Rattus norvegicus: one gene and its partners. The protein of the gene in region 3 purifies or fractionates together with the protein of the main gene of each other region. This does not show direct contact. Links are inferred from orthologs where the notes say so. Each region holds a gene or a part of one and is shown on either strand. Other genes may lie near its edges.

The links.
Region 1: the proteins of L3mbtl2 (region 3) and Tfdp1 purify together in Homo sapiens (affinity purification with mass spectrometry; 4 studies listed by BioGRID and IntAct, counting the BioPlex papers as one, with this or other methods). This does not show direct contact. The link is inferred for Rattus norvegicus from reciprocal best matches to the Homo sapiens genes L3MBTL2 and TFDP1.
Region 2: the proteins of L3mbtl2 (region 3) and Yaf2 purify together in Homo sapiens (affinity purification with mass spectrometry; 5 studies listed by BioGRID and IntAct, counting the BioPlex papers as one, with this or other methods). This does not show direct contact. The link is inferred for Rattus norvegicus from reciprocal best matches to the Homo sapiens genes L3MBTL2 and YAF2.

Annotation. Positions count from the first base shown.
Region 1 is NC_086034.1:82,868,574-82,872,219, reverse strand, and holds part of Tfdp1 (transcription factor Dp-1), read left to right. Parts: intron 1-346; exon of another isoform or gene 347-452; intron 453-665; coding exon 666-975; intron 976-1,371; coding exon 1,372-1,440; intron 1,441-2,512; coding exon 2,513-2,664; intron 2,665-3,021; coding exon 3,022-3,188; intron 3,189-3,646. UniProt on the Homo sapiens protein: Can stimulate E2F-dependent transcription.
Region 2 is NC_086025.1:126,376,451-126,380,196, reverse strand, and holds the start of Yaf2 (YY1-associated factor 2), read left to right. Parts: upstream 1-1,537; coding exon 1,538-1,563; intron 1,564-1,860; coding exon 1,861-1,986; intron 1,987-3,746. UniProt on the Homo sapiens protein: Binds to MYC and inhibits MYC-mediated transactivation. Also binds to MYCN and enhances MYCN-dependent transcriptional activation. Increases calpain 2-mediated proteolysis of YY1 in vitro.
Region 3 is NC_086025.1:115,065,288-115,069,033, forward strand, and holds the start of L3mbtl2 (lethal(3)malignant brain tumor-like protein 2), read left to right. Parts: upstream 1-1,253; 5' UTR 1,254-1,272; coding exon 1,273-1,296; intron 1,297-3,682; coding exon 3,683-3,746. UniProt on the Homo sapiens protein: Putative Polycomb group (PcG) protein. PcG proteins maintain the transcriptionally repressive state of genes, probably via a modification of chromatin, rendering it heritably changed in its expressibility.

The DNA of each region.
Region 1 (3,646 bases), on a different chromosome or scaffold from region 3:
GGGCTGTACTGCCACTGGGACAGTAGCGGATGTGGAAGTGAAGTGATTCTCTTTAAAGGTCAACAGTGTATCACTTTTTAAAAACACTGTTGTGACCATGTCTCTCTCCCTTCAGTTTAGAATCACCTGTGCCCAAGCTCTCCTGAGGGACCTAGTGACTGTTCCTGGTGTGATTTAGTGAGGGGACACATTTGCTGTGCCTCCTGACCTGAAACCTGCACCATGGTTTCCTTTTGACACAAGCCCATCAGTCAGTCTGAGCATTTGCCTTATGTTATGGTAGCTTACCAAAATCAGCCCTGAAAATTCCTAAGTTTACACTAAATGTGCCCTGCTCTGATGCCAGCAGACGCCTTTAGAACAGTGGTGCCTAGTGTGTGGTCCGGATCAGACCCATGCTGATTTCTGCCCTTCGGATGTCTGTCCGTCTTCCCAGACATTTAAAGGCACAGGTGTGTGAACTGGCCTCGTACCTGTTCTTTTCTGACCTGACAAACACTTGATACTTGCCAATGTCCTTGATATATTAGGGCGGAGTCCCTGCTGCCTATGGTGGGGCTGTGGGAACAGTGGGCCTCTGGGGCCTTAGGCCTTTCCTCTGGAAGTGTCTGGATTCACAGTCGGCTCCCAGGCTCTAACAGTGTCCATTTTCTGCTGTTTGGAAGGAAGCGGAACAGGAAAGGTGAGAAGAATGGCAAAGGCCTGCGGCATTTCTCCATGAAGGTGTGTGAGAAGGTGCAGAGGAAAGGGACGACCTCCTACAATGAGGTGGCCGACGAGCTGGTTGCCGAGTTCAGCGCCGCTGACAACCACATCTTACCCAACGAGTCCGCCTACGACCAGAAGAACATCCGGCGGCGTGTGTACGATGCCTTAAATGTGCTGATGGCCATGAACATCATCTCCAAGGAGAAGAAGGAGATCAAGTGGATCGGCCTGCCCACCAACTCTGCTCAGGAGTGCCAGAACTTAGAGGTACACTGCCTAAAGCCGCTGCGTTGTCTTTGGTCACATGAGAGGACTATTCCAGGTTGCCGAGTGGACGAGACAAAGGTCCCTTTGCATTTGGTAGTCCCTGTTAAAAGAGAGAGTTTACGTGTGTGTGTGTGTGTGTGTGTGTGTGTGTGTGTGTGTGTGTGTGTGTGTGTGTGTGTGTGTTCACTCGCACACGTACGTACGTACGTGAGAAAGGAAAGGATCAGTGTGCTGTTGGAGTTACAGGAACACTGACCTCCATCCAGAGCTTTGGTTGTGTCTGTTGTACTGTTGTGGCTTGTCAGTTGTTCTTGGTGAAAGCCTGACACAGTGAGTTTGTCCTTACGCATGCTGATGGGTAAACCAACCCCAACCCCACCCCCGTTCTGTCTGCAGGTAGAGAGGCAGCGGAGGCTGGAGAGGATCAAACAAAAGCAGTCACAGCTCCAGGAGCTCATCCTGCAGGTATGGCCTTTCTAGGGACGCCCACCTTCCCCCGGGAAACAGTCTGTTGGCCACACAGGCCTTGTTGTCAGGGAGGCTTGACTGTGAGCATAAGCACTCCTTGGCATGACAGCCGAGGGAATTTTAAGTCTGCACTGGGCATGACATATCCTCTGTAGATAGATGTTGGTTGTCACAGTTACTGCATGGGGAAAGCATGGTGGTTAAGGTTGGTCGTGTCCATGTGAAGTAGCCCTGAGAGACTTGTCTTGTAAGAGGCCTGGGGATTCAGTGAAGATAGTGTATACAGGGCTCATGGCAGAGCAGACTGCGATGGGCCAGAACCTTCCAGAAGGCATAGCGGTGGTACTGGACATGGGGGTGACTGGCCACCAGCCTGGGATGATCGTAGTTTCCGGGGCACCTAATGGTCAGAGCTGGAGATCCCAGCATTATCCGGCCCCTCACAAGGCCTTGTTAACTGCCTCAGACACAACGTAACCGATGAAGAAGTGGTGTCAGGACCTAGGGCTTGGTAACATAGGCTCTTCCTTCCCTGTGTCCTCAGCCTGAAGGTGGCATGGTAGGGCCCTTACCAAGATCTGGGAAATCTTGGCTCCAGAGGGAAAAAAGTAAGCTGGGTAGGTAGTGGACCAACCCACGCCTCATTTCCTCCCCTCGCTCTTCTTGGTTGAGGTTTTTATGTCGTTGCCTGTCCCCATATGGAGATCAGGGCCTCCTCCTGTATGTCATGTCTTTATGAGAACACTGCCACTGTAGGGAGGGAGAAGTGTGGTTGGCAGGCTTCGATCAGAGTCTTGTGGCCACTTGGTCACTTCAGTACTGGACCATTGGTTCTGGGTCCATTCCTCAGAACTGCAGAGGTCCCTCATGCACTGCAAGGACCGAGTGTCCTCTAGCAGGTCATTCCTGTGACTGCTTTCCCCGTGCTCCTTGTCCCCTATAGGCTGTGAGCAGATGTCACAGGCTGCTACAGCCGATCTCTCAACACTCAGGTTCCCACTATCTGCAGGAAGGAAGGGATCGTGTTACTGTTATTGACATCTATCGGGGCCATGTTTGTCTTTTTCAGCAAATTGCCTTCAAGAACTTGGTGCAGAGAAATCGCCAAGCGGAGCAGCAGGCCCGCAGGCCACCGCCTCCCAACTCTGTCATCCACTTGCCCTTCATCATTGTCAACACCAGCAGGAAGACAGTCATCGACTGCAGCATCTCCAATGACAAGTTCGTCTTCAGTGGGCCCTCGAAATGTAGCTCCTCGGGGAAAGAAACAGGCATTTGTCATCAGGATTCAGTCTTATGGCTGCTGAGTAACAGCAGTTGTGGTCTCTGGTGGTCCTAGAACATGTACATGTGCAGGTAGCGCTGTGTCCCGGCCCAGGGCCATGCCTAGAGCAAGACAGGTTGTGGAATTATCCAACGTGTCTTTCCTTCCCTGGTGTGAACTGTTGTAGAGGAGTTCAGTTGTAGGCCCTGGACGGGAGGTGTTGGGAGGGGCTGCTGCCTGGTCCCCACCCACAGGACTTACTGCCTGCTCTTGGAAGGAGGCCACATCATCCTCACAGTGCCTTTCCCCAACAGATTTGAGTATCTGTTCAACTTTGACAACACGTTTGAAATCCACGATGATATCGAGGTGCTCAAGCGCATGGGCATGGCCTGTGGGCTGGAGTCGGGCAGCTGCTCTGCTGAAGACCTCAAGGTGGCGAGAAGTCTGGTACCAAAAGCTCTAGAACCGTATGTGACAGGTCAGTTGTGCCCTGCGACTGGCCATGCTGCGACCCAGAATCCCTAGTGCCTGGGTGTCTGCTGAGGTCGGGCTGATCGTTGGTCACATGACCAACCTTGGGTGTTGGGCTCCATGAGTAGCACCTGTGGTTTTCATGGTGCAAGTGTCACGGGGTGAGGATCTCTCTATCCTGTAAGATATTACCTGCACTTGAGCCTTCCTGCAGCAGATGCAGGCCTGGCTGTGCCTGTAGCTCTGTGTGAGTCTGAGGGGGGAGGTGGGACGCTCTGCATGCGTGCTTAGTCCCTGTCCCTACTCTCTGGTGCTGCTTGTCCTCCTAAGGGGACAGGCATGCTCCTGAGGAACCAACCACTCCTGGCTCTTACGTAGAGAGAGGGCAGGGAGAGCAAGCTGGCAGGGCACCTGCAGGTCTCCCCAAGCTGTGTCTGCTCATGCAGCCTTGCTTCTCCTCACATA
Region 2 (3,746 bases), about 11 Mb from region 3:
AAAACAAAAACAAAAACAAAAAAAAACTAAACAACCAAGCAGACCCCACATAAAACAATTTTTTAAAATGATTTTTCAAAAGTGCTCCACCGCTGAGCCATATGCTTGCCCGTTCTGCTATACTTCATTTTAAGTTTCTTCTCTCAGGGGGCTGGGGATTTAGCTCAGTGGTAGAGCGCTTACCTAGGAAGCGCAAGGCCCTGGGTTCGGTCCCCAGCTCCGAAAGAAAAAAAAAAAGTTTCTTCTCTCAGAATCTGGTAGCCCGGTTCCCTCTTAATTACCCCAATTAATCTCTAATTCCCAATGATAAAAGGTCAGCATTCCCCCTTCGGTTATTAACTTTTGATGTTTTTGGTAAGTAATACATCAATACAGCAGTCTCCCTTAGCTGCGGTTTTTAGCTGCTTTCCTATTTAAATTACCCACGGACAATATAGTTCAAAATACTAAGGACTTCATAAATAATTAACTCCTAAGTTTTTAGTTGCCACCCCCCTCTGAGTATTATGATGAAAATTTGCTTTATCCTGCTTTAGTCCAGCTGGATTTTCTAAACACCCTTTATAGTGTATCCCAACTAGGAGTCACACAGATCAACTGTTAAGTACTCAGTGCCTGAACTGGGTCCTCTTCAGTTAGTTAAGCCTAACGCTAAGCTACACCGCCTCCATCAGCACACCCAAGTAAGGCAGTAAAGGCAGGGCTCCGCGAAAGGATGGATTTCATCTACCCTTTCTTCAAAGGAGCAGCTCTCCTGACTTGGCACGCTAAGGTCGCCTCTCGATCAGAGCGATGGCACGCTAACTCTGGTTGTGGGGTACCCGCTAGGTTGGGGAGGTGGGAGCAGAGCTTAAAGGACCAGCGAGATGGTTGTTTGGGTCTAACAGGCGAGGTGTGTCTCTGATAGGCTGAAGTAACGAGGCTGGGGAGGTGGTGTCCAGGACACAAGCAACCTCATTCGTCTTAGGAAAGCTCACGAACGTCCGTTTTATAACAAGCCACTGCAGAGCCCCGTGAGGCCAAGAGGACGCCTCTGGAATTAAAACAGGATCAGACCCTGGTTTCGTCACGTTCGAATTATGTAAGTCAGAGCAGGGCACCGAACCTTTCCCGAGCCTCTGGGTCGCTACCCCCAATGAAGGACGACGGTCCCCGCCGCGCTGGGCGCACGTGTGTCTGCGGGCGCCAGCCACCGCGCCCCTCCGGGCGTGCGAGCCACGGCCTGAGCGCTCCGGGCGGCGAGCGGGTGAGCAGGAGGGAGGCGGCGCCGCGAACTCGCCGCGGGTGCTGGGCCGCGCTCCCCGCGTTTGAAGTCTCCGGCGCGGCCGCTGGTTGGCCGGCGCGGGTCACGTGCGCGCGGGCAGGAGTTTCCCCGACAGCTGGAGGCTGCGTGGGATCCGGCGGCGGCGGTGGCGGCGGCGGCGGCGGCTGCAGCTCGCGGCGCGGCCTTCCCCGCCCCCTCGCCTCCGCGCTTCCGCCGGCCCCTCGCCTCGGCGCTGACAGACGGGCCGCGGCCTCGCGCGCGTCGGCAGCGAGCATGGGCGACAAGAAGAGCCCCACCAGGTAGGGCGCCCGCCGGCGGAGCGCCCGCGGCCCGGTGGCGCGGCCCGGGGCGCGCGCGTGTGTGTGTGTGTGTGTGTGTGTGTGTGCGTGTGTGTGTGTGTGTGTGGAGAGGGGGTGCGGCGCCGCGCGCCGCTGCCCACAATGGGCCGCGATGGCGGCCGGGGTCAGCGGCCGCGCTCCCCTCCCCCGCGCGGCGCCGGGCGGGGCGGGGGTCGCGGGCCGGGCGGGGCGGGGCACGGGGCCGGGCGCGGCCTGCGGCTGACCCCGCGCTGCGTCGTGTCCGGTTGTGTCCTGCAGGCCGAAGCGGCAGCCGAAGCCCGCCTCGGATGAGGGCTACTGGGACTGCAGCGTCTGCACCTTCCGGAACAGCGCCGAGGCCTTCAAGTGCATGATGTGCGATGTGCGGAAGGGCACCTCCACCCGGTGAGTCCCGCGCGTCCGCGGCCCGCGGCCCCCGCGCGACGCGGGACGGCGGGGCGGCCAGCCAGGCGGTGTCCGCGGTGGGGCGCGACCCGGCTGAGCCGCGGCTTGCGGCGAGGGATCGGTGGCGGCCGCGGCGGCAGCGGCGACGTGGTCCGCGACGCCTGCTTCGGGGGATGAATTATGGAAGGGGGTCGCCGGCCGCTGCTATTCAGTGCGTGGCCGGCGCGGTGTCCCCCTCCCCAGCCGGGCGCGGAGACGTTGGCCGCATTGTGGTGTTGGTGTGCGGGGAGGGGGCGGGGACGGGGACGGGGAGGGGGAAGGGACGGAGGAAAGGCCGCGATGTCATTCGGTCCCCCTGGGGAAAAAGTATCGCTGTAGGATCGTAATAGATCAAACTTTCTTAGTAACGGATGTCCGGAAGGGTCAGGCCAAGGTTTCACGTCTGGTTTTTGTTCCATTTCTGTAATATTTTACAATTAAGTAGTTGGGAGGCGAGCCCAGCAACGCATTTTTACTCGAGTGCCTGAATATCTTTACACAAACGGGGTATCCTGATCTTTGTCTGTTTCTGGCCCTAAATTTGTGGTGTGGTAGATATATAGTATTGTCTTTTAAAAACATTTAAAAAGTCAGTGGCCTTTTTGATCCGTCTCCACCTGGTCACAGGTCCCTTGCAGGAAGGCAGACTTTAAGTTCATTTCTTTGAGTCCTGTGATTTGTAGCAATGTTTAAGTAACGTATTTATTTTGCTACTCTGAAGCCTATTAGAATATAAATTATCGCAGAACATGGGGAATTTTCTGTTTGAAAAAGAGGGCCTGTATAATTTTGACATTCTAAATAGTCAAAGTTGTTTCTAAAAAGGAGGTATCCCGGTTTTAAAATTCAGTTTATAGAATTTTATTAACATGGTGAGTGTAGAGACATGTAGAGATTTTATTGTTTCTACAATACTGGCCGCTTTTGACAGACCTATCGTGTAAATCTCAATAGGTTTTTTTTTTTTTTTTTTTTTTTTTTTTTTACTGTGAGTCCTCATTTACATCGAATAGAATATTTTCGGCGTTTCTTGGCATCTATTAAAAAGCAAGGTTTTAAATACTTTTTAAGTTCAAGGAAAGATTCTAAAATGAGAAGCTACTTCTATTTTTGGACTCCTGTTATAAGTGTTTTGAAAAGCACAGGGTGTATGTCTGTGTAAGGATGGGAATGGCTTAGTGTGTACTGTATACATATTTGGACATACGCAATATGTAGCTCATTTGATTGGTTATTTTGAGGCAGGCGTTTTGAAGTAGAGACAATTACTATAACCCTGATCTCTGCCACTATATTGGTGCCTTTTTTGTTCGCTTGTTTTTGTTTTTCCTTCTATTCTCTCATACTTTTAGGAATTAGACGAGTCTGTTTGTTTATTTGCAGGGACAGCAAGGATAGGGGGAAGCTGGTGTCCTACTCCACAGCCAGTCTTGGGCTTAGAGGAACGGAGAAGTAGAGTAGGTGGTGACACTCAGAAGAGAAGCACCAGGCTGAATCCCTGCCCCTGGAAGGATTGTAGTGCACAGGGGAGTTGGCCCAGGACAGAAGTGGGCCTACTTTAAAAGGGGCCTGGGGCCCACTTGGAAGCCCCTGACTTTTTTTATTACCAGTATATCTGAGCTCTTGTAGATCCAATTTTTAGTGGTGGAAACATTACTTGAGGAGGACTCAGAGAAGCATTGTCATTTGGATTGAAACTGAAGAGGCTCTGGGCCACTCAC
Region 3 (3,746 bases):
AAAAAAAAAAAGCAACACAGAGGCAGGGAACTGGGCGTGCTCTGCGAGCATTGAAAGGGAGCTGGGTGTGGCTCCGGGAGTGTTAACCCAGACTGGTCTGATTTCAGACGTTTGTAAGGCCACACAATTCCCAAGGAGAACCCAGGGTGTGGAAGGAGGGTGTACTGGGGACTCACTCCATGTGTATACTCCTTGGCAAAACCTTTGACTTCAGTGTCTTCCTCAATCTCTTGCCACCCACTGGAGCTACACTGGTTGACCAGCAGGCCATAGAACCCTCCTTTTGCTTACCCAATCCTGGGATTACAGGCACGCTCCATCATGTACTGGGGACAGAACTTAGGGTACCATGCTCTGGTTGCAATCATTCAACTAGCTAAGTCATCTCCCCTAGACTGAAGGTTATAACATATATCACTATAATTTATTTATGATGTGGGTGTTTGGTTGAATGTATATATATGTACCATGTCAGTGTCTGGCATTGTCAGAGATCAGAAGAGAAGGTAGGATCCACTATAACAGGGTTTATAGATGCTTGTGAGTTGTCACGTGGGTGCTGGGAATCGAACCTGGTACCTCTGGAAAAGTGACCAGTAACTACGGAACCATTTCTCCAGTCCTAGGCTTTTTTTTTTTTTAAACATTTATTTATTTAGCTTGTGTCTGTTTGTTTTATGACTCGGAGGTCAGCACAACTTTGTGGGGTAGGTATTCGCCTTCCAGCTTTATGTAGTGGGCTCGGGGATTTGAACTCAGGTAGAAAGGCTCATGCAGCAAGAACCTTTACCTGCTAAACCAGCCCTAGCAAGCAGACAGACACAGGGTTTCTGTTTCTGCCTGAGTTGAAAGAGGGATTAGGCATTTCTGCTAGGCATTCCGGTACAAGAACACCTTTACTTCCTACCTAGGGAGAGTGCGAAGCTTTGTTTGGGGCCTAGCCGCGTCCATCCTAAGCGCTCAGAAGGTTTGAAATTTGACTTAAAGAGGACAAAACTGAGAAGTACCCTCCAAGGAGATTTTCACGTTACTAAGGCAACGCCCCTTCTGGTGCACCCGGGGGAAAACTACAACTCCCATAATCGCCCGGGCTACCCAGCCCCTCCTTAATGGGGGCGGGGCGCGGGCGAGCGCGGAACCGGCTTCCTATTTCCTGCGGCATGATTGGCCCGCAGCTCGGGCGGGGTAGCCAATGAGCACACTCTCGGAGAGCGGTGAGGGCAATATGGCTTCCTGCACCTGGTGACGGTTGAGGAAATTGAATTTGGTATCATGGAGAAGCCGCGGGGCACTGAGGTAAGAGGGTAAAGGGTTCAGTCCAAAGGGGGAAAGGGAGCCCCGAACGCCTCACTCGGAGGACGCGGAGTTTAGCGATGTCTGGGTGGTGGAGAGTTGCAGGGTTGATAAACTGAGGTACGGAGTTTAGTCCGGGCCGGAGGCTACAGAGGTTCCTTTTGGTTTGATGACGAAGGAAGGGAGGCAACGCCTGGTTTCATGATTCTGAGCTTTAGGATTGGGCGGCCTGTCCCTTCCACGCGGGAAGTAAAGGGAGGGAGATCAGAGTTGGTTATTATTCCACGCGGGGAGCGTTCACGTGCAGGTCTCCCAGTGTACTCACGGCCATCTTCTTTAGTGAGGGCTTAAAACAGCCTTTTGGATTGACACAGCTGGAAAGTGCAAGAGGTTGTCACCAAGAATGTCAGTTTCCAAAACTCTGTTATGCTTTATGTGTGGCACAGCAGCCGATGACCCACCGCATCTTGCATTTGAGGTCTCCATTTCCAAGCGGTCATAATTGCTAATTTTTATTGAGCACTGTTTTGAGTGTTTTACGTTTATCATCCCTTCCCAGAATATTATTAGTGGTATTATCCTCATTTGGTGGAAACTGAGGCAATGCAGTTGACTTGCTGTGGATCATACAGCTAGGAAGCACCAGAGATCTCATTTGAACCTTGGCTCAAAGCCTCTTTCTCCTTACCTTTGTTTTGCTCCCCGCCCCTCCCTCGCCCTCGCCCTCCCCCACCCCCCACTTTTCCACTACAAGTTAGGTACGTTTTTATGTAGCGTCCCATCTCTACCTCACATTCTGTGACCCGTAGGTGAGAAAATTGAGTCCCACAGACCTTAAGATCCTTAGCTGATTGAAATAAGCTAAGCTCACGGCTGTGGTGCATACCGCTATGCAATTAGTCTCTGGGAGTCATTTGACTCAAAGCCTCCTTGGGATAACCTGGGTCTCAATTTTCTCAGCCTTTTTTTTTTTCTTTCCCCCTGTTTTCCTTTTTGGAAGAAAACAGGTTTATTGAATACACTGCAGGGGACAGTAGGCTAGGCATCAGCAACAAGAGGGCCACTGCCAGCCTTAAATTTGTTTCTGAATTGAAATCATTTGGATGTGCATATACAGAAGAGGGAAGAATGAGTTTCAAATGCCTTCGAACCCATTGAAAAATGTTTGAGGTGCTTAGGGTATTTCCACATTATTGTATAGATCTCTGATCCCTGGCATAGTTTTTTGACCCAGTAGTGGTGTGTAAGCAATGTTTTTTCAATAGACACTGTACTTTGAAGTTGGAATTTTGCCCTACACCCAAGCCATCAATACAAGAGGTCCTGGTGCTGAGCAGAGGCTCAAACCAATCACAGCTTGCAGTTAGCCACGCAGTCATTAGAGGAAACAACCCATTTTCCTTCCTTCCTTTCTTTCTCTTTTTCCTGTTTTGGTTTTGATTTTCAGGGAACTTGTTTTGTAGACCAGGCTGTCCTCAAACTCACATAGATCCGTCTGCCTCTGCTTCCTGAGTGCTGGGATTAAAGGCATTCACTACCACACCTGCCTTTTTCTTTCTTCTTCTTCTTCTTTTTTTTTTTTTTTCTTTTCTTTTTTTTCGGAGCTAGGAACCGAACCCAGGGCCTGCGCAGGCAAGCGCTCTACCACTGAGCTAAATCCCCAACCCCTTTTTTTTTTTTTTTTTTTTTTTAAAGAGGATCTATTAGCCAGATGGTGGTGGCACACACTTTTAGTCCCAATACTCGGGAAGTAGAGGCAGGCAGATCACTGCATTCAAGGTTGACATGGCCTACATAGCTAGTTCCAGGGCTTCTGAGAGAAACCCTTTTTTCAAAAAGAAAAGAGAGAGTGAAAGGGAGAGGTGGGAGTATGGGGGGTACTAGCTGTGTAGACCAGGCTGGTTTCAAGCTCAGAGTGATAGGTCTACCACAGAGTGCTAGGATTAATGATGTCACCACAATACCTAGCCGCCTAGAAGTTTTATTTTTTTTATTTTATTTTTTTTTTATTTTTTTGGTTCTTTTTTTCGGAGCTGGGGACCGAACCCAGGGCTTTATGCTTCCGAGGCAAGCGCTCTACCACTGAGCTAAATCCCCAAACCCCTAGAAGTTTTAAATGAATGTTCAGCACATATGCATGTATGTATGTATGTATGTATGTATGTATGTATGTATGTATATTGGTTTTTCATGACAGGATTTCTTTGTGTAGCCTTGGCTGTCCTAGAACTAGCTTTGTACCAGGCTGGCCTCAAACTCAGAGATCCACCTGCCTCTGCCTCCCCACTGCTGGGATTAAAGGGGCTTGCCACTGCCACCCCAGCTCATAGTGGGTTAGCCAATTTGTAACCTCTCTTGTCAAGCTGAGCACGGATTGTTTTCCCACTAGGAGACGCCATCTTCAGAGCCAATGGAAGAGGAGGAAGATGATGACTTGGAACTCTTCGGAGGCT